2 linked regions of the Danio rerio genome follow. The protein of the gene in region 2 interacts with the protein of the main gene of each other region in a pairwise test. Links are inferred from orthologs where the notes say so. Each region holds a gene or a part of one and is shown on either strand. Other genes may lie near its edges.

Region 1 (9,382 bases), on a different chromosome or scaffold from region 2:
TTGCAGGAGCAGAAGGTGTCTGTGCCATTAGATACACAGTGAGCCTCATCGCCGTCTCCACACAGAGATTTGTTACTCTTACAGTCGTTCAGCATGGTGTCTTCAAAAAACAAAAGAAAAATTTAAAAAGAAATTTAGAGCACTTCAATATCAAGTTATAATATTAAAACGTTTATTTTATCCATAACGATCGATGGGGACATTAAAATAAACTCATTTGAATTACAATGTTTATATATATATATATATATAAAAATACAAAATAAAAACCATAAAAGGATGGCATTCAATTATTTCAGAGAATATTTCGCTGGAACTTCTACCTTTTCTCATTCACTTTTTAGTTCTATTTGCATTTTGCACTTTGACAAGATATAAATGTATAATTATTATTATGATATAATTATTAAAACAATACAATTGTAATATAATTTACATTTTTGATTGTGACAAACCTGTACTATACAGATAGCAGCATCTCACCTGTCTTGCAGCCGATCTCATCAGAGCCGTAGTCTTCACAGTCGTTGAAAAAGTTGCAACGCAGGTTGGCACTGATGCATTTGCCATTGGTGCACCTGAACTGGTCTTTATCACATGTGGATTCATAGTCTGTATGAACACGTCACAACAGTTAATGCAAACACTCGCTGATAAATGACTGATGCACAGCAGAGCTGAAAACTCACCACAGCTGGCCTCATCTGAGTTGTCTCCACAGTTGTCCACTCCATCGCACAGCTTGCTTCTCGTGAGACACACACGATTATTACGACAGCGGAAATTTCTAGTCGGTGGGCACTGGAAGTGTCCTGAATAACAGCAGAGAAGATTTAATCTTAGCTTTAAGTGCATTCATTCTGTTTTAAATGTATCATCATCAACCAAAACATTGACAACTGAGAAGGTTTTAAAATCAAATTAAAGACTTTTTAATAACTAATAAATGAAATAAATACCATACAGACATAGTAAAAAAGTCTGGTAACACTTTAGCTTAGGTGACAATTTGTGCTATTAGCTACTGGCTAACTAGGGCCAGACAGAATCTGCTGACATTTTTTTTGCTATTTCTGCTATTTTGGGAGTATCGTAAATTAAAACTTAATATATGAAATTTTCTAAATAAAAGCTTTTAAATTGTATTTAATATTTACAATGCAAATCCATCTACAGTAGATCCACTTATTTTGAAAACTAAGCAAGTCTCTTGTATAATATCTACTGAAAACTAGAAAATATTACTTTATAACACTTTCATATGTCAATAATATTACTAAAATAATTTAAATGCTGAATAAATATAAATTTAAACACATTTACACAAGCAAATAAATAGACTTGGGCTATAAATCTGCGTGTTTCCATGTAGGCCTACTTATAACTTACCTACTATTAAGATATTAACTGTTCATTAGAAGTTAAGTGAAGTATAATCTTGTTCTGCATCCCTAATCCTACCAAATACCTAAAACCCAACTTCTACCTTAATAACTATTAATAAAAAGCTAATTACTAGTTTATTAAGCTAGGACTGTTAATTAAAGGTGCAGTAGGTGACTGCCTTCAGAAACATTTTTTGTTGTGCTGGCTGAAAGTCTCTTCACATTCAAATAGTACTGATTAAAGTAAGTGATCTAAATGTATTTTTATGTATTTTTATATTCTGGTTAAGGCATAAGACTAAAAAATGTTTGTCCAATTTAAATGTCGAGCTGACATCTCCCATAATTCTGATACGGAGCTCAAACTGTCTGTCAGCAAATGCAAATTTAAGTTACTGCGCACCTGTTTGTACGCAGCTCTTCCATTTGTGGACACACGTGCATGCGCGTTCACGAGAGTGGTAGAGAGAGAGCGAGCAGTAAAAACATGCTGAATCGAAACTTTTTAAAAATCTTGAATCAATATTGGAGTTACTTTCGCATGCTGGAGGAAGGACGACACCATGGCTCAAGTATTTCTCTTGGACAGGTAATGTTATGATTTGAAACTATTTTTGTCACGCAGAGCTGATGTAGACTGGGTTGTTATGACTGAGTTATAGGCACAGAAGTGTAGTTTAGCCACTGAAATCTTCTGGTGTAAGATTGATGTGACTATTTTCTGTTTCATAAAGGCCTTTTACAGCATTAATAATGTAGATTTTATTTAGTTTAACAACAGAACATCAGTAAATAACGCTATTCCGCCTAGCCTACTTTACTTAGCTTAAGATGGTTTTATATTCATATTGGTTAATTTTTGAACATTGACAACGTGCGACGCGCTTCCTATGGTGTTTACCGCTACTCTGAATATTCGGTCAGAAGTAGCATGTAAGTACAGCTTAGAATTGAGTGTAATAATGAGTGTAATTCCTGCACGACGCCGGCCAAGCTTTAGCTCAACACATGAGAGAGGGTTCTGCTGTCATCTTCATTAAGGTTCGTGCGCTTGTGTTTTCAGGTGGCGTGGCTTTGGACGGCAGGGGAGGGACGGTGTTTTAGAGATTTATGCTAACAGGCTAGCATTGTGGCAGATCACCTTCTGCACCTTTAATATGTTAATAGTGAATTGTGACAAAAAAATCAAGTGTTACCAGAAATCCTATTTTAACACACTATTTAAAATTTCCTACATAAATTAACTAGCAAACGGCGAAAGTTTAATAAACTACAGATACCGGCAGGTAAATAAAAAAAATAAATAAATACCATTATACTTCACTATTGATTACATTAAGAATTACAAACATTCTGATGTATATCATTCTCTGAAATGCTATATTTAAATATGCAAACAAGCAACTACATCATAAAGCATGCAAAAAGGTTTGGTTTAAACTTTTTTGGACATATTAAAGTCAAAATGATTTTCACAATTACTTTGTAGAATTAAATGTATATATTCAGGCAAATTATGCATGAGCATGTTCCTCTGTCAAAGCCTTCAAAATATAAATATGAATATAACCATGAAGTGTGGTGTAAATGAAGTAAATGCTCCTAAATTAAAATGCTTTTATTAAAAATATACATTGTTATTGAAATCTACAGATACAAATGGATAATGTTTGACAAATGTAACAGTTAAATGTAAATTCTGGATGATTTTTTTTACAATAGACTAAAACAAACACTATAAGAAAAGCCAAATTTCCCCAATCTCTTTTTGTTGAGTGTGTGTGTGTGTTTGTGTATGTGTGTTTGTCTACGTGTTTTGTGACATATCAGGACACTAATCTGTATAATGACATAGGTATGACACAGGTATTACAAAAAGGAGGAAAATGTGAGGACATTGGTGATGTCCTCATTTCTCAAAATGCTTATAAATCCCACAGGATGAGTTTAATCAGAGAGTAAAGCTGCACACAGTCTCCTGTGATGGTTAGGTTTAGGGGTAAGTCAAGGTGAGGGCAATATAATATACGGTTTGTGATGTATAAAATGTATGGAAACCTATGTAATGTCCCCACTTTTTATAAAAACAAACGTGTGTGTGTGTGCGTGTATGTGTGTGTGTATACTTACTGCATGCCTCAGGGTTCTCATCTGAATTATCTCCACAATCATCCTCTCCATCACACTTCCAGGACAGTGGTTTACACAGAGTGTTATTACACTGGAACTCCTCACTGGAGCAGTGCCGCACCTCTGAGAGAGCAGGAGTAGAAAAATCAGATCAATCCATTAGACCAATCTTAACAAGAATACACATGTATAAGCCTGCAATAAACAGACACGCATACCAGTAATCTCACAGCGCTCTTCATCACTGCCATCAAGGCAGTCCACATCAGCATCACAACGCCAGGGGAGCGGAATACAGTGACCATTCTTACACTGAAACTGATCCTCCTCACACTTCAGATCACAGCCATCCTAACAGACACACACAGAAATAAAGATTCATATATTATACTGTCATGTAATATCACTTAACATAACACATGGTGTTAAATAAAAACAATAAAATTTAACACATTCAAAATATTTAATTCAATAAATAAAGCATTACAAAATATGTTTGATTAGGGATACAGCATACGATCACAGCAATTTCTGCAATTTAGTTTTAATTTTTAATACAGAATGTTTATTTGTCCTTAAATTATACTCATTTATTTGTCCTTAAAAATGTTTAGTTCAGGTAGGATTTTTATTGTGGTATTAAAAACTACAATTACAAACTGAAACATCACTAGTATGTACAATTTAGGTGTCAATCTAATTTATATAACTTACATATAAGTTTAAAATGTACTACAAATACATAATAGGTAAAAATAAATGAATAATTAAAACAGGTAAAAATAAATGAATAATTAATAGGTATTATGTGAAGCAAATTGTTAAAATTATAGTATTACACTGCAGTATGGTCGGGTTGTAACTATAATAATATCCATACAGAGCAATTAACAGCCAATAACTCATTTAGTAGACACATTGAGTAATTGTAATCACAGTAAAGTGAATGGAATGTAAATGCAATCAATTTGTTATATATATATATATATATATATATAAATATATATATAAATATATATATAAATATATATATTTATTTATATACACACACACACACGCATATATATATATAAATAAATGTGTGTGTGTGTATATATATATATATATATATATATATATATACACACACACACACACACACACACACACACACACACACACACATATATATATATGTGTGTGTGTGTGTGTGTGTGTGTGTGTGTGTGTGTGTGTGTGTGTGTGTGTGTGTGTGTGTGTGTGTGTGTGTGTGTGTGTGTGTGTGTGTGTGTAATATAATATAATAATGGAGAGTATCTTGGGATGCTAGATAAACATAAGTAGCTCATTAATATCCTACAATTTTACAAATAAATTAATATTCATGAATGTGTTATATTTGTTTACATACACCTAGATCAAAAGGCAAATAGAAGAGACTAAATTAAATAGAATTTATAAGTAATAGAATATAAAAATTATATAATTCATATTGGTGCGATTACAAAATCCAGTGCTTTCAGGATGTTTTAACAAATGATTAGATTTAGCAGAAACTCATGGTTGAATGGAGAATTGTTGCAGTTAAGTGAAGATTTGATTAAGTGGTCCATCGATTATTGCACTTCTTCAATTGGCTACACACAATTTGCATTACAGGTGGTGAAGGGAGGTAATGAACTGCAGTACCTCATCAGATCCATCTGAGCAGTCATGATCTCCATCACACTTCCACCTTCCAGCAATACAGCGGCCATTAGAGCAGGCAAACTCACTCTCTGAGCACTGACGCGGCACTGACAGAGACAGAACAAGACAAGTAAATGTTGAAACTGAACATAGACATTCTGTATGTGCCAGCAATACACTATGGTGACTGCAAGGAAAACATAAGAGGAAAGAAAGGGACACATTTTAAGACAAGGGCTATAGTAAAGCTTAAAGAGTGAGGGCAAAAGGAAACACTTTTAACACATACTGTACATCTAATAATCAAATTCAGAGATCCCAAACCTGATGATCATTTTTGTGACATACCTTTTTTACTTTAATAACTTCCAAGTTACTTGTGTTTACATGTATAGAGATTTAGAAATGTATGTAAATTACACTACTAATTGAGTGCAGTGAAACATACACACAAAATATACGTCTTTAAGAACTGTACTTCATTCAATTTCATATATAGTGTTGAAGTAAATGTATACATTTTATAAATATATTCAATATATTTCACATATTTAATAAATACATGTGTATGTGTGTATTTTATTATAAATTTGGAATAACCTCTTTGACATTTTTTATGACACTTTACAATCATTTTTCATTACTTAATGTTAGTTCATGTATGTACTAACATAAACTAAGAATGAACAATACTTGTACAACGTTTAATCATTATAGTTCAACAGTTACTAAAGCCATGTTTCTCAAAGTGGGTGTCGCGGGACAATGAAGGGGGGGGTCGCCTGGTGATTTCCAAAAATCTATTTATTTTTTCTAAACCATAGGAATTACTATATTTTATACATAACCTACTGAAGAGAAAAAAAAATGTTGTTTATAGTTACCATTTACTATATAGTTACTATAGTAGCTTATAGTTACTATTGGATTGCGACCCCTGGGGTAATTACATTATATTAAAGAAAGCAAAAGTGTCAGATGCAGCAGATTGATTTTATAACACCAGGTTAAACTTTCTGGCACATTCATAGCTGTGACAAAAAAATAAAAACGAAGAATAGACTTGGGAGGATATTGGGGGTCGTGAGTCACTGGCATTGTCATTTTGGGGGTCGCGGACTGAAAAGTTTGGGAACCCCTGTACTAAAACATTATAAAAATCCAACTTCATTTTCAATTACTAACGTTGACAAATCAAATTAATACTGTAATAAACCTATTGTTTACTGTTTATTCAAGCCAGTAAATACATTAGCTAATATATTAAGCAATACAACCTTACTGCAAAGCGTTACCAATATTTTTATGTAAAATTGTAAACTATATGTTTGTTAATATATAAAAAAAAAAAAATCTAAATGTAGGAAAAATCTAACAATATTAGCATGTTAACTGCTAAAAGCGTCACTGTATTTAATTTAAAGAAGGAAAAATGAACTCTACAATTTCGCCACTAGAGGGCAGAAGCTGTGCCACTTCTGTCAAAAACACAAATGAAAGCATGGGGAAATGAGGAGAAGAGAGGAGAGGTTTGAAGGGGTTGGAGACCTACCTCTGAGTCAAGCCAATGGGTCAGTGTGAAATGAAGAATAGAGACAACATGAAGTGAGATGCAGCAGTGAGCAACATGGGTGAGCTATGACACCGGACAAAATACCCACAATGCCTCCCACAGACAAATGTAACGGGCACAAATAATAGGAAGCTGCTAGATTCAGCGTTGTGCGTGTACAGTAGTGGTACATGCAGTCTCAGGTGCATTAAGGTGAGCAGGAATGCTAAAGTCAGTCTGTCTGTTGAGATACGTACCACACTTCTCCTCATCTGAGTTATCGCCACAGTCATTATCATAATCACACTGCCAGCGGCCCGGCACACAGCGGTTGTTCTTACAGCGGAACTGGTAAGGCTCACATGTTCTCTCATCTGCCATAAGAAAAACAAATGATTAATCAGTTTTATCTAAATAAACAGTTTACTAATTATAAAATAAAACATACTAAAGAGGATCAAACATAAATGACTTCTGTATTTTTATCATTACACACAGTGTTGGGTTAAAGTTACTTCAAAAAAGTAATTAATTACTATTTACATCATTACAATTGTATTGAAGTTACGTTTCTAATTACTTTTCCTGAAAAGTAATTTAATTAGTTCACCCAATACTATTTAAAAATATATAATTCTCAATGCATACACAATAAAGATTATTTTAATTCTTTAAATTTGAATCAAACCAGATTCTTAGTTTTATTTTAAAAACTCACATAAATTTTTTAAAAACATTATGTATCAAAACAAAAAAAAACATCCAGTATAATGACACCATATTTCATAAATAGAATATATTACAATTTCTTAAATGGCTTGTTCACAAAAAAATAATAATTCTGTCACCATTTACTCACCCTTTACTTGAGTTTTTCTCTTCTGTTGAACACAAGTGAAGATATTTTGAAGACTGTTGGAAACCTGTAACCATTGACTTCCATAGAAGGAAAAGCAAATACGATGGAAGTCAATGGTTACAGGTTTTCAGCTTTCTTTGTGTGTAACCAAAGAAAGAAACTCAAAGGTTTGGAACCACTTGAGTGGATTAAATAGTAAGCACATTTTTATTTTTCACTTTAAAGGTGCTGTATGTACGTTTTTGACTCTTCTGAAGCATAAAAATACCATAATATGTTTGCAAATATTTAAGAAACGTGCCAGGTGAACATTCTTGTTTATCTGAAAAACAATGCTGAAGTCAATATTCTGCTTTTTAAAATGGGCGTTCTGTGCTGCTGTCTTTGTTTTGGTTCTTTAAACCCACCCAATGGCAGTTTATACAATTATATTTCAGCACCCTGGGTTGCCTTGTTGGAAAATCGCGTATTTCATTCATTCATTTAGAACGACTCTCGAAGCATGCACCCGTGACTGAAATGTGACCTCCAGTGGACAGTAGCAGACTCCGAAATTAGACGCAGATTCAGAGTTCCACATAAGGTTATTTATTAGCAAAAATTATAAATATTACTAACGTAAACATTAGGTGAGCAGGTTATATTTTAACCCCGTGTCCTAACAACACGCTACGTGATGGATTTGCAGTGATGAGCAATTTGGCTGTTTGATCCAGAAATGCAAGTCCTAGTTCAACAACTGGGTGTCAAACTTACATATTGCACCATTAAGCAAGTGCAATAGTCAGATTAATCTAACCTCCATTGAGTTATTATGCTAAATATCGAACTAAAAACAACAAAATATCCCATTACACTGTTTTAAAGTGAGTTATTTCATACAGAAGTGATTAATTTATTTGCAGTAGTTAATACATTATAAGTAACTGCAATTAAATAACCTTAAAATTAAAAATAAACCCTTAATTTGCTTTTTCATTGGAAAAGTAATCTAATTAAAGTAACTAGATACTTTCAAAATAAGTACACATAACACTGATTACATATTAAATATTTATTATTATTAATTGAATAACAATACATTAAAAAAATAATAAAATATTTTAATGAGAAAGAGGAAAATGGATAAATGTAGAATTAATAAAAAGGCATAAATGAAAGGAATAAAGAAAAAGTCAGTCATACCGCACTCCTCTTTGGGTTCATCAGAGGCGTCGCCGCAGTCGTCCTCTCCATCACATGTCCAGCGAGACGGGATACAGCGGCCTGAGTCTTTACAGCGGAACTCATCTACACCACACTTCATCTGAGCTGTAAAAAGAAAAGAAAAAAAAACAGAAACAGCTGTTATGTGCATGTTATACTGATTTGGTTTTTCCTCTAGGAATCATTTAACATGCTCAAATGTTTGCTTATTATGCTATATATAATATTTCCTGGAAAAAAGTCACACTGTGACAAAATTGCATTGTTAAAAACAATAACAAAAATAAAAGCAAATAAGGATATAAGCAACATTTTAGAGTATAATTCAAACTATCAGCTGTCTGAAACAAAAGGAAATTAGCTTCCTGCACTTCACAACAATCCTTTATATTTTCAGAAAAGTAAAAAGAATTAAATATGGAGACAAAAAACAAACAGAAATTAAAGTGTTATGCCCTAAATGTCAAAACTATTTTAAGTGGAACTACAGTATGTGGGACTTACTGCAGTTGGCTGGTTCATCAGACTCATCCACACAGTCGTAGTCTCTATCGCACACCCAGACTCGGGGTATACAGCGTT
Region 2 (9,941 bases):
AATGAATTGTGTGGAACCCTGCATTTTTTACAGTTTAGCTACTGCCATGCTAATTTTATTTTTAATGCTAATTTTGGCACAAAAATACTGTGAAATGATGAATGCAGGGTTTCTTTCTTCATTGTGGTTAGACTATGATATGTAGGATGAAAGTATGATCATTTTTAAATGGCTAAATGATGATGTCTAATTGTCTATGATAAACAGGGAGAACCTTTTAATTTCTCAGTGTCAGAGGCAATTACGCTAAACTACCCTATGAATGTAATAATGCTAATTATTGCATAAAAAAGGATGTGAAGTTACAATACTGTGATTTTGGTTTAATTTAAGACCATGATATCTATGATAAATATAATTTGTAAGTCAGTTTGGACTAAAGCATTTGCTAAATGACTAAATGTGATTATAAATAGACAGCCACTTGCAGCTGGATCTGACATATACAGAATTTTAGTTCAGTTAAAGGGATAGTTTACAGAAAAATACATATGCTGTTATTCTTATATTACATATAAGTTATTTAGTCATGCTTTGCTTTATCCAAACCAGCTGGTCTTTGTTTGTTTGTTTCTTTCATTGAACACAGAAGAAAATTATTTGAAGAAAGCTAAAAACCTGTAACCATTGACTTATTGTTTGTTTTTCCTATTATGGAAGTTAATGACAACAGTTAGGTTTTTTCCAGAATATCTTTTGTGTTCAACAGAAGAGAGAAACTCAAAAGGGTATAGAACCAGTTGGGGGTTTGTAAATAGTAAGTAATTTTTAACTTTAGGTTGAACTGTCCTTTTAAGCTAAACTGGGCGAAACAGTTCAAACATGTTATAATGCTGACTGTTGGATACAAACATTTGTGAAATCATAAAGGATTTTTGTTTAAGTTCAGATGAATAGACAACAATATCCATGACAATTCAGATGTGACTGAATTTGACATTTAACATTTACGTATAGGCTAATAATGCCAAATTTTAGCATAAACGTTAAAATGCTAATCAATGCATGAAAATATTGTGAATACTTACATAAAGTATTTTTGTTTAAGTGACTAAATGAAGAATTACACGATAAAAAGTCAGATGTGTTTGGCTTTGATAGAGGGAATATATAAACAGTATATATACAGTTGAAGTCAGAATTATTAGCCCCCTGAATTATTAGCCCCGTTTATTTTTCCCCCCGATTTCTGTTTAACAAAGAGAAGATTGTTTCAACACATTTCTAAACATAATAGTTTTATTAACTCATTTTTAATCACTGATTTATTTTATCTTTGCATTGATAATGACAGTAAATAATATTTGACTAGATATTTTTTAAGACACTTCTATACAGCTTAAAGTGACATTTAAAGGCTTAATTAGGTTAATTCGATTAACTAGGCAGGTTAGGGTAATTAGGCAAGTTATTGTATAACGATGGTTTGGTCTGTAGACTATATAAAAAAAGGTGAATTGGGTGAGCTAAATTGTCCGTAGTGTATGTGTGTTTGGATGTTTCCCAGAGATGGGTTGCGGCTGGAAGGGCATCCGCGGCGTAAAAACTTGCTGGATAAGTTGGCGGTTCATTCCGCTGTGGCGACCCCGGATTAATAAGAATGAATACTTTGAAAATTTCCTTGCTCTGTTAAACATTTGGAAAATATTTAAAAAAGAAAATAAATTCAAAGGAGGCAAATAATTCTGACTTCTACTGTATATATATTCAATTAAGCTAAACTACCTAGCTATCTTAGCATAAACGTAATTATGCTAATTAATGCATAAAAAGGTTGTGATATCATAAACATCTGATATCTTTTTTTAGAGGATAACATACATTAAAAACAGTCAGATGTGACTAGATTTGACAGAACATTTACGTATAAGCTAATAATGCCAAATTTTTGCGTAAATGTTGATGATAATAATGTTAATCACTGCATGAAAAGATTGTGAATTACTTATATAAAGTATTTATGTTTCAGTGGCTGAAATACACGATAAACAGTTAGATGTGAATGGTTTTGATTGAGAGAATTTATATTCAATTAAGCTAAACTATCTTAGCATAAACGTAATTATGCTAATTATTGCATAAATAGTTGTGAAAACATACATATTTTACTCATTTTTTTAAGATGATGCCTTCTAAAAATAGTCAGATGTTACTGGCTTTTTATGCTTAATTATGTTAAATCATAGCACAAACGTTATAATGATAATTGCTTCATAAAAAAGGAAGCGCAGCCATAAATAATGGCTTTTTCTTTCAGTTTAATTGGTTAGACAATGACATACATGAGAAACAGTCAGATGTGGCCAGCCTTGACATCCCCCTCAGTGTTGTTAACGCCTCATGCTAATTGACTGCTATGCTAATTGACACTGAACACGGAAAGCCTCCGGTGACCTCATGCTCATTCAAATTCATACAAATTCGGAAATAATCTCTACACATATTCAGACCGCAGTACATGGAAGCTAATGATGTGTCTTTGACCTAGAAATCTATTTTTGCTGTGGGGTAAACAGCTAGCTTCATTCAGTCCGAGAGCGTATGACTCTGCCTCATGGAAAGATAAGTGACTGTGTTGGTTTTTGGGTGGAGAGATGTAAACCACACATACACAATTTACTACTGATGTACTGCTGTTTCTGAATTAAGATAACTGTGATCAATGTAGTCTAACCATACGCATGTTGTTTACTGATATCCCTTTGTGTTTTAATAACGTTTAATTCACGGGGAACGATAGAAATGTCATAAAAGGGATTTCATTGCTAAAGTGACTTAGTTACTGACTCATCGTCATGTCGTTTTAAACTTGGATGACTTTGTTTTTGATATAACACAAAAGAAGATATTTTGCAGAATGTTCAAGCTGTTCTTTTATGTAACTTAAAAGCTATTGCAAAATTGACATTTTGATAACCAAATAAATCAAATAACAAATTCATTTACATTCTATATTAAAATTATTATGGACTATGTTAGGGCTGCACAATATATAGTTTCAGCATCGATATCGCAATGTGCGAATACACAATAATAATAACTATAATAATAATTCCTTACATTTACAGTATATAGCGCTTTACACAAAATTACTTTTTATAAATGTAATGCATCCCTGCCGAATAAAATAAATTTTAATCAAAATTTTTTTTTTTTTTCAAAATCCTGACCCAGAAATGACCTTGAATGCTACTGAAGTATAACTTATTTAAAATGTACAGATAAAGTCAGAATTATTAGCCCTCCTGAATTTTTAGCCCCCTTGTTTTTTTTTTCTCTGATTCCCGAGATTTTTTCAGCACATTTCTAAACATAATAGTTTTAATAACTCATTTCTAATAAATAACTGATTTATTTTACTTCTATACAGCTCAAAGTGACATTTAAAAGCTTAACTAGGTTAATAAGGTTAGCTAGGCAGATTAGGGTATTTAGGCAAGTTATTGTATAACGATTGTTTGTTCTGTAGATTATCGAAAAATAAAGCTTAAAGAGGCTAATAATTTTGACCCTTAAATGGTTTTAAATTTTTTTGAAATTTTCTAGCCAAAATAAAACAAATAAGACTTTCTCCAGAAGAAAAATATTATCAGACATACTGTGAAAAATTCCTTGCTCTGTTAAACATCATTTGGAAAATATATAAAAAAAATAAATAAAAAAATTCAAAGGGGGCTAAAAATTCTGACTTCAACTGTTAGAGTATGAATCAAAAGTAGCAATAAATCTAAATAGGTTCTGACTCCTGAAGCGCTCGGTCAGATAATGCAGTGAGCCATGAGTTCATCAGCCTATTGGAGATAAGCTACAGGACCAGAGCAGATGTTGATTAACTCTTATAGGCTTGTACAGGTGGTACTTTGGCACACTTCCCGAAATCATGGTAAGCCTGACACTACAAACCAGACTAAAGACCAAAACACTGAATCAGAATGGGAATAATTATGTTGGCTTGATATGACATCTCAACATGTGAAATACATTAAAACCTGCTAAAGCAAAACATGCTAAATACATGTTGGCTAATACTATGTAATAAGTAGTTGAAATAAGCATAAATGTCAGGGAAAAACATCTAAGAGGCCATTTTAAAACACATTTTAAAAGATGTTAAGATGTTAATAAAATATTATTGGTAACATTGTGCTAAATGAAGTATCAACATGTTAACGTAATATAAAACATTCTGTCGTAACATGCTTACAATTGTTATGTTAAAAAGTTAATATTATCAACAATATTTTATGTTAGCACAGTTTTGAAGTTATAACATGCTAGTTAACACAATGATAGCAATTCAAGCTAGCAAAATGTTAAAAATGTCTGCATGTTTGAAAGGTGTTGAAACACTGTACAAAACCGCATACTTTCACATTAAAACATACTAGCAACGTTTAATCATGCTGCTAATGTGCTAACACTACTGAATACCTTGGTATCACGTAAAACATGTCAAAAAACATGTCAAAACATTTTAACGTGAATTCATGTTAGCAAAAGGCTAAACATGTTAACTACCTTTAACGCTACAAAACATGTCAGCAACTTAATCAATTGGCCTACGATAGCCATGTGCTAACTAGAGAATTCTAAAAAGATAAAACTTTAATGTACTGACCTTATTTCATTAAAACTTTTCAAAGTTAGCCTATTAAACTCAGAGCAAGTTTTGTCAGGTCAATATTGACATATTTGTCATTAAACATAACTTATCTAATTTGTAATAATACTAACGTTACCTACTACAATAGCCGTTACTACAGCAACTGAAAACTCCAGGATAAAGAAAAAGTAATTAACAGATAGCAGAAAAAAAAGATATAATGTTAGGCTATAAATATATTTAATTAAATTTACTCAACACAAAAAGGCAAACATATTGCATAAGTATCCAAATAAAACCTTAATTAAATAATACATAAATATTAGGCCTATCGTTTTGTTGTATAAAGTTTACCTCACTGTCTTTATATAACAGATTCGTCATTTTTTGTATTTGACTTACTTGAGTGTCGAGGTCGAGATGGCCGAGTGTAATTCCGTTTTCATCCGTGATTTCAGTCACTTCAGACAGATCATCATCCTCATATTCATCCAGACTGATATCATGAGTCAACCTGAAGAGCGCCAACACACACTACGTCACGGTCATACTTCCACGAGACTATCACTAGACAATCACACACAATTGACTAATTATAACTTTAGGACCACTGTGCAAACACAAAACCCTCCTTTTCCCTAAATGCTTGAGTAAAACGCATTTTTTAGCCTGTAAATGACTAACGTCACTTTTTTCAAGCGGTCATTTAGAGCCGGTTTTTAGTCGTATGTATAACATAACAATAACACGATAATGAATAAAAACTTAAAAATAATTGTATGAATGCATATTTATAGACTTAATCCAAGAGGGAAATCATATTGGTCAGCATTATTATAAGATATTGCTTGGAAAGGAACATGGCTTCCCCGATATAAATATGTAATCCCAAACAAAGCAAAGGAAATCCATTTTAAAATTCTACACAAAACATACCAGGTCAATGCATTTATCTCAAAATTTACTGACATTGCAATTACTTGTTCTTTCTGTCAGGAAAATTAGCAAACTTTGACTCGCATGTTTTTTATTTGTAAAATCTCACAAAAGTTTTGGTCAGATCTATATTTGAATAAATCACAATCAACAAAACAAACCTTTAAATTGAAACCTATTATTTGTAGTCACAAGAAGAAAAAATAATGAATTTATATATATATATATATATATATATATATATATATATATATATATATATATATATATATATATATATATATATATATATATATAATCCTCTCCCTCATTTGCCCAATTTTTAATTGAAATTCATTCCTTGATTAAAGCTACGTTTATCTAACAACAAAAAATTATATATATATATATATATATATATATATATATATATATATATATATATATATATATATATATATATATATATATATATATATATATAATTATATATATATATATATATAATTATATATATATATGTGTGTGTGTGTGTGTGTGTGTGTGTGTGTGTGTGTGTGTGTGTGTGTGTGTAAATACATACACACAACAATATAATATATTCTTATTGAAATAGTTTATAAACACACAAGAACTATATGATAACACACAAAGAATACATATGAAAAATGAACATAGAATTCTGCTGCAAGAAAGCAGGACCAAAAACAAAAGTATTCTTTTAAAAACACTGCTTTGACTTGCTTAAGCACAATGACATTTTACCTAGCATTTATTGAAAAACTGTATTACTGTATCTATTAACATCAATCTACCTAACATTTTTTGTAAATCTGTATTCTGATAAATTCAGGTCTAAAAGCACTTAATTCACAGTACTTCCTGTAAATAGCCCAGTCGTCCACATTTTTCCGTATACCTCATGTAACAAAATCAGTCAAGCGATTGAACAAAACCACAAACACCTTTTTTTGTGCCACAAGAAAACTCAAAGCAAGTCTAATTTTAGATTAAAAACCTTCACATCACTCAGCTCTCCATTGGACATTGGAAGCTGATCCAAGGTCAGTTAAGGCAAAAACACTGCAGGTTAATAATAAAAATAAAGAGCTAATAGTGATCAATATGTGTTTCTGTAATTGAAATTATTTTGTATTTCAAGTTTTCTAAAATGTTTAAATATGCAAATGAAGCATTATTTTATTAGGTATGCACTAACTGGCAAACATTGAGCACAAAAACCTGATGAAGTCAGGTATAGCTTTACAAATAAACAAGTAAAATCTATTCTGAGGAAAATCATTCAGAAAAGCAGCCAGAAAAACAACAACTTAAATAACAATAATCTAAATATGTATGAATAAGCCCTTGGATAAAAAATAAAATAAAATAAAAAAACCTTCGGAATATAGATATAAATAAAACTGAGTCGTCTGGTGTGTTTAAGTGATGCTGAAATGGAAATATCATGTCTCAAAGCACAGCAAAATATCATTTGAAGACAACAACCTTCAAAAACACTAATCATAATGGAAAACTACAGACACAATTTGATAAAGCACGGCCAAAGAAAGCATTAAAGAGCACATTGAAGTTTTTTTTCCATTAAACCGAAAAAAAGAACTGAAATAAAGACTAAAAATCTGAAAACAGGAACATAAAACTGCTTTGCTTGCAGTGTCTCGCCTTAAGGCCGCATGTGTACTGTACCATTTCTCCCACTGCTCCTCCATCCAGCCGTCCCATTCCTCTCTGGAGTCCATGGCCAGGCTGAGCACCATCTGCGGAGCAGGGCGGGGTGCCACAAGACCCTTCCTGGGAAGCTAAACCGACTTCGCCACTTCAGGCTCTCCTGTCCAGCTCGCCAAAATTTACCGGAGGAATTTCATCAGCCACAGGACGTCCACAGTTGTGCTCTGCGTCCTTCGGTGGAACCATTAAAGTCACTGAAGTGGAGAGAGAGGAAGAGAGAGAGGGCGAGAGAGGCGTAGTCTCTTCTAAAAGGGTCTGCCATCCTCGTGATTGAAAGCCCAGATCAATGCGGCTCAAGTTGCCACCTCCACACAAGTGCAGGCCGAGAGAGATGCCTGCTGGGAATCGATGCCATTGATAACGGATGAAAATATCTGGAAGGCTGATGCGTGAGATGTACGCTGGTTGATTAAAAGTTCATCAGGAACTGCTGAGAAATGGTGTTAATTAGATCGAGGTGTTCTAGAATGTGAGGAGTTAACTTAAATTGGTGGGTTGCAGATAGATCAAAGGGGGGGGGGGGGGGGACAAAACAAAATCACTAAAACCAAATAAATAAATTTAAAACAGATTTAAAAATTTTTTTAAAGAATAAAAAAAAGATGATTTCAAAAGATGAAAAAAAGATGACTTGTTCAAACTACTTAGAATTTAAAATAAGCTAAAATAACATTTCTTGAGATTTTTTGGGGCACATCTTAATTGATTTATGTTCAATAGACTTAAATATAGAGTTAACTTAATCGATTTGTGTTGGGACAACATGAATGAATTGTGGGAACCTATTTCTTAGACTGTAAATTTAAAATTTAAAAATGATTTCGAAAACAATAACATGGATAAAAGGTAATTAAAAAAAGGCCAAGAAATAAAACAAACAACTACAAAACCTAAAGTGCAAATAAAGATCAAAACAAATAATCAAAAGTGAACCAAACATGAAAAGCCGGATTCAACTTAAAAGCCATAAAAAAATAAACAAGAAAATCATAATAAAAATACTAAAAAAGGACAAAGGATGTCACGGAAAACAATAGCAACAACTAAAATAAGTCTGAAAGCCTCTTGTGATGCTGATTATTATTAAAGCAAACCCACTAAATCCTATTAATCATATCCGCATTTGGCCAAGAACATCAGCCATACGGCTTCTTGTTTTTGTCTTACAAAGGACATGTGTTATTGACTTGGAGGAGATCCGTTTCATTGTGGGATTCGGCAGAAGATGGAAGGATGAAGAGAGAGAGAGATAGAGAGACAGAAGAGCCAGAGATAAGAGTCTCTGTATGGCCATTATACGCTGTATAAGAGCAGACATTAGCTGACCTGCACAGGAACTGAGAGCTTTTGCTTCATTAGAGCAGATCCCACAGGACGCCCTGCAAACAGCAGCTCTATTGCATTACTACAGCGCTAGACTGAGATAAACACAATCCAGAGGCTCTGATCGCTTATACAACACGTGGACTGATGGCGCATGACAGATTTGAGGACTGTGAGAAAACAGTCACTGATTCAAGATAACTTTTTTTGTCCCTAGAGGATTTATTTTAGTTAAGAGATCACAAAATATATGGTATAGATTAAAGGAACACTCAATTTTTGTAAATAGGCTCAATCTACAGGTCTTCTAATGTTATGCAGTTGTGTTTTTCTATTTTTTAATCAATACAGAGAATTTCTGGGTCTGGCGGGAGCACTGTTAGCTTAGCATAAATCAAGAAATTGGATTAGACCATTAGCATCTGGCTCAAAGGTCAATATATATATATATATATATATATATATATATATATATATATATATATATATATATATATATATATATAATATTCTTATTCAAAGCTAGATTCAAATTATATCTAAGACAGACAAACATATATATATATAGACAAACATATAAAAACATTCTAGTGTTAAGCCAATGTGTTTTACCATTTGGTGTGGTGGGAGCACTTTTAGCTTAGCATAAATCACTGAATTGGATTAGACCATTAGCATCTTAATGAAACGTCAAAAAAAACAACAAGATTTTTGATAATATTCTTATTTAAAGCTGGACTCAAGTAATATTTAAGACAGACGGAAAATTAAAAGTTATTTTATAGGTCCATATGGCTAGAAACTTAGAAACTATTCTAATAATAATAATAATATTTATATATATAGATATACGTACACATGCATACACACACACACACACACACACACACACACACACACACACACACACACACACACACACACACACACACACATATATATATATATATATATATATATATATATATATATATATATATATATATAGAATAGTGGTCTGTTTTGTACTGTTCAAAACTGTATTCTTATTTTACAAGTGTTAAGCCATTGTGTTTTACCATTTAGTCAGGCGGGAGCATTTTTAACTTGGCATAAATAATAGAATCGGATCAGACCATTAGCATCTAAAAAAAAAAAATTATTTTTGTTAATATTCTTTTTTTAAAGCTAGACTCTTCTGTAGACATTAAGTACTAAGATCGAAGGAAAATTTGAAGGTATTGTCTGGGTCAATAGGGTTAGAAAGGATACTTTAATTCTGGCCTAATAATCAATATTTTGCTGCATACTATAATAACGGCTGGTGCAGTCACAAAAAAAAGTTATGTTTTGAAAACAAAAGCAAAAC

What was found.
Region 1: the proteins of mapk8ip1a (region 2) and lrp1ab interact in a two-hybrid assay, tested with the Homo sapiens proteins (2 studies listed by BioGRID). The link is inferred for Danio rerio from reciprocal best matches to the Homo sapiens genes MAPK8IP1 and LRP1.

What each region holds. Positions count from the first base shown.
Region 1 is NC_133198.1:28,414,801-28,424,182, forward strand, and holds part of lrp1ab (low-density lipoprotein receptor-related protein 1), read right to left. Parts: coding exon 9,305-9,382; intron 8,906-9,304; coding exon 8,780-8,905; intron 7,110-8,779; coding exon 6,993-7,109; intron 5,291-6,992; coding exon 5,184-5,290; intron 3,867-5,183; coding exon 3,734-3,866; intron 3,639-3,733; coding exon 3,516-3,638; intron 813-3,515; coding exon 690-812; intron 613-689; coding exon 484-612; intron 101-483; coding exon 1-100. UniProt on the Homo sapiens protein: Endocytic receptor involved in endocytosis and in phagocytosis of apoptotic cells. Required for early embryonic development. Involved in cellular lipid homeostasis.
Region 2 is NC_133200.1:14,768,688-14,778,628, forward strand, and holds the start of mapk8ip1a (C-Jun-amino-terminal kinase-interacting protein 1a), read right to left. Parts: upstream 4,814-9,941; 5' UTR 4,619-4,813; intron 1-4,618. UniProt on the Homo sapiens protein: The JNK-interacting protein (JIP) group of scaffold proteins selectively mediates JNK signaling by aggregating specific components of the MAPK cascade to form a functional JNK signaling module. Required for JNK activation in response to excitotoxic stress.